Linked DNA regions of Saccharomyces cerevisiae S288C. Changing the gene in region 1 together with any one later gene gives a genetic interaction. Each region holds a gene or a part of one and is shown in the gene's direction. Other genes may lie near its edges.

Region 1 (4,398 bases):
ACATTTGGAATCTTCAAACCTGCCATTGCAATTAGCAACAAACTTCAGAATCCGATGAACATCGTCCTTAAAAGTTACGGACATCTCACTCTTTCAAATTTATTTTTTAATTGCTATTATATATGGCAACAAATCTTTCTTATTGTATCTGCCACCTCATCTCAGCTGCCTTCATCGAGTATACTTCATTTGATTTTCTGATATTTATTGCTCGTTTTTCGCTATTTTGATGCAGTACATCTCAGAATTCAACGGAGAACGTGGATATATTAGGCACAAAGAATCATAAACAAACGCCCATGTAAATAACTATCAATACACTACTTTCTAAACCAATCTGCAGGAGCTCCACCTTGATCGCTTTGGCTTATTCCAGGCGTTTTCAGGCACTGTATATTGGTACTATATCGCTATGTATTTGACAGTCATTATCAACGGATACCCTTCTTGAAAATTTTTCAGATGGGATGACATGTGAAAAGTGTAACAATCGAGAACTGTAAACAGCATGGGGGAGCATTCATCAATATTGTTATTTAGTGTAAGCCAGATTGTGAAGACGCACTTCTTGCCAAGTATCTTCCCAAACAGCGAACCTGTCATACTTAACTGTTCCACTTCCATATACCTAAAATGTCTGACAACCCTGAGATGAAACCACATGGTACGAGCAAGGAGATTGTGGAGTCGGTTACTGACGCCACCTCAAAGGCGATTGATAAATTGCAAGAAGAACTCCACAAGGACGCCAGCGAATCCGTCACGCCGGTGACCAAGGAAAGCACTGCTGCTACAAAGGAAAGCAGGAAATACAACTTTTTCATTAGAACAGTTTGGACGTTTGTTATGATCAGTGGTTTCTTCATCACCTTAGCATCGGGTCATGCATGGTGTATAGTGCTGATTTTGGGCTGCCAAATTGCTACTTTTAAAGAGTGTATTGCCGTAACAAGTGCATCTGGTCGCGAAAAGAATTTGCCATTGACAAAGACGTTGAACTGGTACCTTCTCTTCACCACTATCTATTACTTAGATGGGAAATCACTCTTCAAGTTTTTCCAAGCTACTTTTTACGAGTATCCTGTATTGAACTTTATCGTAACAAATCATAAGTTTATCTGCTATTGTCTCTATCTTATGGGATTTGTTCTGTTCGTTTGTAGTTTAAGAAAGGGATTTTTGAAATTCCAGTTCGGATCATTGTGCGTTACTCATATGGTTCTTCTTCTGGTAGTATTTCAGGCTCATTTGATCATCAAAAACGTGCTCAATGGGCTATTCTGGTTCTTATTACCATGCGGGTTGGTAATTGTTAATGATATCTTCGCCTACCTGTGCGGCATTACATTCGGTAAGACTAAACTAATAGAAATCTCGCCCAAGAAAACTTTAGAAGGTTTCCTTGGTGCCTGGTTTTTCACTGCTCTAGCTAGTATTATATTAACAAGGATTCTGAGCCCTTATACTTACTTGACGTGCCCTGTTGAAGATCTCCATACCAATTTTTTCTCTAATTTGACATGTGAACTAAACCCAGTTTTCCTTCCACAAGTTTACAGACTTCCACCCATCTTTTTCGATAAAGTTCAAATCAATTCAATTACAGTAAAACCAATTTATTTCCATGCTTTAAACTTAGCTACCTTTGCATCATTATTTGCGCCATTTGGAGGCTTTTTCGCATCTGGTCTAAAGAGAACTTTTAAAGTTAAAGACTTTGGCCACTCCATCCCAGGCCATGGTGGTATCACAGACAGGGTTGATTGCCAATTCATAATGGGTTCTTTTGCCAATTTGTACTATGAAACATTCATCAGCGAACACAGAATAACAGTAGATACAGTTTTATCCACTATTTTAATGAACCTGAACGACAAGCAGATTATAGAATTGATTGATATCTTGATTAGATTCCTATCTAAAAAAGGTATAATATCAGCGAAGAATTTTGAAAAGTTGGCTGACATCTTTAATGTGACCAAGAAATCATTGACCAATCACTCTTGAATATAAAAAAGACCATATAAAAGTATATATGAGTGTATGAATAGTTTTTTTTTTTCAAACTTATGCACGCTATACTACTCTTTCCCTATTTAGTTTATGTAAATTATAAAATATGATATCAATTCTTTAACAAAATTTCTCGCTCGTTTTTATACTTATGACTATATGTAGGAAAATAAACGTGTTGCTCTGTCATGTTACTTCTAAAATATTGAGAGGAGAAAAAAAAAAAAAAAAAAAAAATTATAAACAAATGAAAAAAGGACGTACTGACTAATAGTAAGTAGATCTTTTACCTGGAAGGTGCCCTATGATAAGATTTTTCATCAACCAATCTAGCTGAGCATACTGTTGGCAGTAATTAGGATGATTTTCTCACTAGATGAAGAACTTCATCGTGTGTCACTAGATGATAAAAAGAATGACATTAAAGTAGATTATTCCTCGGCAATATACAATGATATCAATCATGAACAAGGCAGCTCCATCACATATGAGGAGAGTATAAATCACCTCTCGGTTCATTCAAATGCGATTCCGCTAAATGGCATGAGTCCTGCACATAGGATGAGAAGAAGGTCCTCAGCTTATTCCAAATTCCCTATTCTCACTCCACCAAATACGAGAAGATTTTCTATTACAGGTTCGGACGCAATGCGAACTAATACGAATAGACTATCCATAACACCTCAGGACATTATTTCCTCTAATATTGGAGAAAATGAATTATCAAGGAACCTGCACGATTTTAAGCCCGTGAGAGTCCTAGGCCAAGGTGCCTACGGTAAAGTTCTTCTTGTTAAGGACGTCAATACATCCAAGCTGTATGCTATGAAGCAATTACGGAAAGCAGAAATTTTAATTTCTCAAACAGCCACAGATTCCAAGAGAGAAGACGAAGATAAAAATGATGGTAATAACAACGATAATGACGATGGATTATCAAAGAGGCTTGAGAGAACATTTGCCGAACGGTCTATTCTATCTGAAATAGAACATCCAAACATTGTCAAGTTATTTTATTCTTTTCACGATAACTCAAAGTTATATTTACTGCTACAATATATCCCTGGCGGTGAACTATTTTACCACTTGAAGGAACACGGGACCCTAGATGAGACGACAGTTTCGTTTTACGCGGCAGAAATCAGCTGTGCCTTGAGATTTTTGCATACGAAAGGTGTTGTCTATAGAGATTTAAAACCTGAAAACTGTTTATTGAATCAACGTGGACATTTAGTATTGACAGATTTTGGTCTGAGTAAAAAAAGTGCTAATGATTCCGCGGTTGATGAGGAGGATCCAGAGAACGTCAATGCCCTATACTCGATTATCGGTACGCCTGAATACTGTGCGCCTGAAATATTATTAGGTAAAGCTTACAGTCAGAATTGTGATTGGTATTCTTTGGGATGTCTGTTGTATGACATGTTAGTAGGTAAGCCTCCATATACTGGTAGCAATCATAAGGTGATCATTAATAAGATTCAACAAAACAAGCAAGGCCCCAAAATTCCATTTTATCTGAGCGAGGGAATGAAAGATATATTAAACGCGCTGTTGAAGAAGGAAACTGCCAAAAGGTGGAATGTTGACAAATACTGGGCCAAAACCGGGGCTAATAATAAGCCTACTAAGTCTAAGAAGAAGAAATCAGGGGCTGCAAGAACTAGTCTTTTCACTGAACATTTTATCTTTAGAAAAATAGACTGGAAGTTATTAGAATCTGGACAATTGCAAAAAACCACTCTAGGCCCAATTGTTCCAGTTATTACGGATTTGGAACTAGCGGAAAATTTTGACACAGAATTTACTTCTATGTCATATGAGGAAACCTATACGGATAGCAAGCCGATTAATATCAATTCGGTGAGCAAGTCCCCGGATATGTTCAAGGGATTTAGTTATAAAGCAAGTGGTAGCTATTTGGAGAAGTACTTTTGAATTAAAAGTTAGATAGATTAAGAGAGAAGGCTCGGATCTGCACTGACTTACTTTTTTTTGTTTTTTTGATGTTTAAAGGATCTGTGTCACTGTATATACTTTGTTTTGCTTTAGGGTTACGAAACACATTTTTAATATATAATGTATGTAATAATATTAAAAACAACTGTATGGATAATACTTCTGGACCAATCGGTGATACCATCTTCCTTATTTATGGTATTATTATCATTATTGGACCCCGCCGGTGCTTTTTTTTTTACCTTAAAAGAGTGGTTCTCCTCCAAGGGACGCACGAGTGGTGTACCCAGGGGTTGTTTCCATGGCTAAAGAAATTGGAGATTACAAACGTACATTGTCATTTAAGAAGGTTCATAATCTGCCAATTACATTTGATATAACAAGATGCTTCCCACATTCAAACGTTACATGTCGTCCTCAGCTCAT
Region 2 (3,996 bases), on another chromosome or scaffold:
AATTGATTTTTTATCAACATTAATTGTAATTTCTTTATAACATCTTATTGGATATCATACGAATGTTTTTAAATTACAAAATCATTAAATCATAAAATGTTCAGTGAGTACAATCTCCCAAAGTCTACGTTTACTGTAATTTATCGCTATTTACAGGGACGCTGCAGCTTAAATATTAGCGCCTAAGTTAGTCGAAGCATTCTGTCTTGCCCAATTCTGGACAGTAGCAGCGGTCTTTAAACCCACCCCACTCGGCCAACATTTCTAATTTTTCCTTTGGCTCTAAGAAATATTCTCCGCTTAATACAAAGGTCCCCCAATGAACGCCTAATACATTTCGAGCTTCTAGATCTTTCATAATCTTGAGAACCTCTTGAGGATTAATATGTCGTGGTTTTTGGTGCCACTCAGGGCAATACTGACCACATGGAAGCAGCGCTAATTTACAACCTTTGCCAAAGCGTTCTTTAATTCTAACGAATAAATCTTTCACATATCCAGTGTCACCAGCATGAAAAAGTATGGGATTACCATGGTGTGTTAATAAAAAGGAGCACCATAGAGACTTGTTCGTATCTAAGAGCGATCTCCCAGACCAATGCATGGCAGGAGTAGCCGATATGTGGTATATCTCATTGTTTTTCTTTACTTGCAAAGTTTCCCACCAAGATAATTCTAGGACATTATCACAGCCGTTACTTGTCATATAAGATTTCATTCCTTTAGGTACTATCCATAAGGGAGAGTCTTTGCCACTCCAGTATTCCAAGCTTTCTAAATCCAGGTGATCGGGGTGATTATGGGATACAAGGATGATATCTGGTTTGGGCACCTCTGTAATTTGAGATGGCATTTGAGTAATTCTTTTAGGACCCAGGGTCTTGTGGATAAGAAAGTCACTGAACAGAGGATCAGTAAGTATCCTCAATCCATTATAAACCGTGTAGTTACAGGACTGGCCCAGCCATGTGTTATAGACTGGGCACTTTGATCCTTCATTTTCTTCTACTGCAGTCGGTATGTGCAATTCGTCTAACACTTTGCATTCTAGCGGCAATGCCGTTTCCTCTGCGGGGTCGACGTCCACTAAGTTAGGCCCCCATGTTGGCTTGTGTACAGGCATTAACTTATTCATTTGGTGTACATCACGTGGAATACCTCCCCTATTTCTTTCAAATAATTCGAACACTCTATTTGCAAAGAATTCAAAAACGGTCTGAATCCTGTATTCTTCGAACGGGTTCTCAAATCTGCCTAAAACTTCCAAAGGGCTATATTTTAGCAAGGATCCCTTATAAGTGACCTCGTTATTATTCTCCTCTAATCTTTGACACATTTCGTTTCTTAAATCAATTTGCTTCACTGTAGCCAATGATACATAAAACGCATATCCTGTGTAAGGTACCAAAACAGACAACAGAAGTATACGTGCGTATTTTCTCGAGCATTTTTGTATAGGGCGTGTCTTTTGCGAAGCATGTCTTTTGAAAGTTGACAATGATGTCTGGGGTCTAAACAGCTCTGATTCTCGTAAACGCACTAGTCTCCTTTGGAGAAGAAGCCTCATCTGAACATGGCAGGTAACAAAATTCATTTGCAACACAAGCAGGCATGCAATCCTTCAGTAATTGGAGTGCTACTGTTCACACCATATTCTCGCTATTCTCGAACTACGTTTTTTTTTTTTTGTTAAGCATCAGTAGTGAGTCTTCGGGAACTGCTTAACGACAGTAAAGGAAAAAAAAAACTAGCAGCTGTTGATAATATTCAGAAAATGAACGCAGAAGGAATCATTAGCTAAAAAGTTTATTATTAAAATCAGACATATATCTCATTATAATATTTTTTTTTTATAATACCACCATTTGTTCTCATATAATACTGATAAATATCGCATCGAATGGAAAAGACAAATAGGAGGCCGCTATTGTAATTTGGGCCTTAACCTATTTATTCTCTCTCTTTTAATTGATATTTTAATCTTTTTGAAGCCTACAATGTATTTTGGGCGATAATCAAGGAGAATATCAGTGTCATATACTCACTGTGGTAAATGTATTTCTAAAGTAGTTCCAATTCTTTCTTCAAAAAAGGCCACTAGACGATGTGCTTTCTTGCACAAGCATTTTGCTGGGCTATCTTCAATAGTGATAATTCTAACTAACTCAAAACCAGATGGCAAGTTCTTCCCTATGGTCGACTTCTCTCAGACGCAATAGTAGCTATGTTATTGATGGCTTTTGACGCCAGACCGGGTAAAGCGCATGGAATGAACTCTAAACTGTTAAAATAACAAAAACGACATATGAAGATGTCGATGAGGCTGGATAGTTTAGAGATGAGGTGCAGAGAACAACATTGTATAACAAATTCGGCTCCCAAATATCGCATGTACCATGTCATTTCGTAAAAGAGGTGAAATACTGAACGATAGAGGTAGCGGGCTAAGAGGTCCACTGTTAAGAGGTCCTCCACGAACTTCCTCAACGCCATTGAGGACAGGCAACAGAAGAGCCCCTGGAAATGTGCCCTTGTCTGACACTACAGCGAGATTAAAGAAGTTGAATATTGCGGACGAATCCAAGACAAAAATGGGGCTGGATAGCTCCCATGTGGGCGTTAGACCTTCTCCTGCAACCTCTCAGCCGACGACATCAACTGGGAGTGCTGACCTGGACAGTATACTAGGCCATATGGGGCTGCCGCTGGGAAACTCTGTACTAGTAGAGGAGCAGAGCACGACAGAATTTCACTCTATTCTCGGTAAACTGTTTGCCGCACAGGGTATCGTTCATAATAGAATTTCAGATAGCAGTGCTGATAAAACTAGAAACGGCGACACTCATGTCATTGTCTTGTCATTGAACCAAATGTTTGCAAAGGAGCTACCTGGTATCTACAAGGGATCACGTAAACAAATGAAGAAAAACCTAATCTCTGAAGAAGAATCAAAAGTTACTGTTCAAAATTTGAACGAGACCCAGAGATCGACGCCTTCCAGGTACAAAGACCTGAAAATTGCATGGAAATATAAACTGGCAGATGAAAAGAGATTGGGTTCTCCGGATCGAGATGACATCCAACAAAATTCTGAGTACAAGGACTACAATCATCAGTTTGATATTACAACGCGTCTGATGCCCGCTCCCATAGCATCTGAACTGACATTTATCGCCCCAACTCAACCTGTCTCCACTATTTTGAGCCAAATAGAACAGACTATTAAAAGGAATGACAAGAAACTGATAAGAATTGTTATTCCTTCCCTTCTACATCCGGCAATGTATCCGCCCAAAATGTTTGAATCATCTGAAATAATAGGTTTAATGCACGGTGTGAGGAGTCTTGTCAAGAAATACTATGAGCGGGTTGTACTGTTTGCTTCCATATCCATAGACATTATCACTCCCCCATTACTGGTATTGCTGAGAAACATGTTCGATTCTGTTATCAATCTAGAACCCTTTAACCAGGAGATGACTGAGTTCTTAGAACGTGTTTATAAATCGCAACCGGGGAAGATTCAACATGGGCTAGTCCACATATTGAAATTACCAGTTTTCACGGACCGTGGAGAGATGAGAGTTTTAAAGTCTGAATGGGCATTTAAGAATGGCAGAAAAAAGTTTGAAATAGAACAATGGGGCATACCCGTGGATGATGCTGAAGGTTCAGCTGCCTCGGAACAGTCACATTCACACTCGCACTCGGATGAAATCTCACATAATATACCTGCAAAGAAGACCAAGATATCTTTAGACTATTAAGAATATGGTTCAATTTATGGGAAATATACGGCATGCTTTTTAACAAGCGTGGTGAATGTATTATTTTTTTATCTGTTATATCTTAAATACGACTATTATATATATATCCATCGTCTTTTTCCTGACTCTAAGCGGTGGCAGCTGGAAGGTAGAAAAAGGTATCGCCTAGATGTCAAAATATGAAAAAGTGAAATGAATATTAACAAAAAAGGAGCGTGAGCTGCAGAAA

What was found.
Region 2: mutations in YPK3 (region 1) and ELP4 together harm fitness more than expected from each alone (negative genetic interaction), as found in Saccharomyces cerevisiae (2 studies listed by BioGRID).

Annotation. Positions count from the first base shown.
Region 1 is NC_001134.8:293,978-298,375, reverse strand, and holds YPK3 (putative protein kinase YPK3), read left to right. Parts: upstream 1-2,373; coding exon 2,374-3,951; downstream 3,952-4,398. Other genes in the region: RKM3 (protein-lysine N-methyltransferase), read right to left, coding at 1-84; CDS1 (phosphatidate cytidylyltransferase), read left to right, coding at 634-2,007; YBR027C (uncharacterized protein), read left to right, coding at 4,020-4,352; ETR1 (enoyl-[acyl-carrier-protein] reductase), read left to right, coding at 4,357-4,398. UniProt on the Saccharomyces cerevisiae protein: AGC kinase which plays a role in TOR complex 1 (TORC1) signaling pathway which mediates temporal control of cell growth in response to nutrients. Required for phosphorylation of ribosomal protein S6 (RPS6A/RPS6B) at 'Ser-232' and 'Ser-233'.
Region 2 is NC_001148.4:357,813-361,808, forward strand, and holds ELP4 (Elongator subunit ELP4), read left to right. Parts: upstream 1-2,396; coding exon 2,397-3,767; downstream 3,768-3,996. Other genes in the region: FMP30 (N-acetylphosphatidylethanolamine-hydrolyzing phospholipase D), read right to left, coding at 188-1,594. UniProt on the Saccharomyces cerevisiae protein: Component of the elongator complex, a multiprotein complex which is required for multiple tRNA modifications, including mcm5U (5-methoxycarbonylmethyl uridine), mcm5s2U (5-methoxycarbonylmethyl-2-thiouridine), and ncm5U (5-carbamoylmethyl uridine).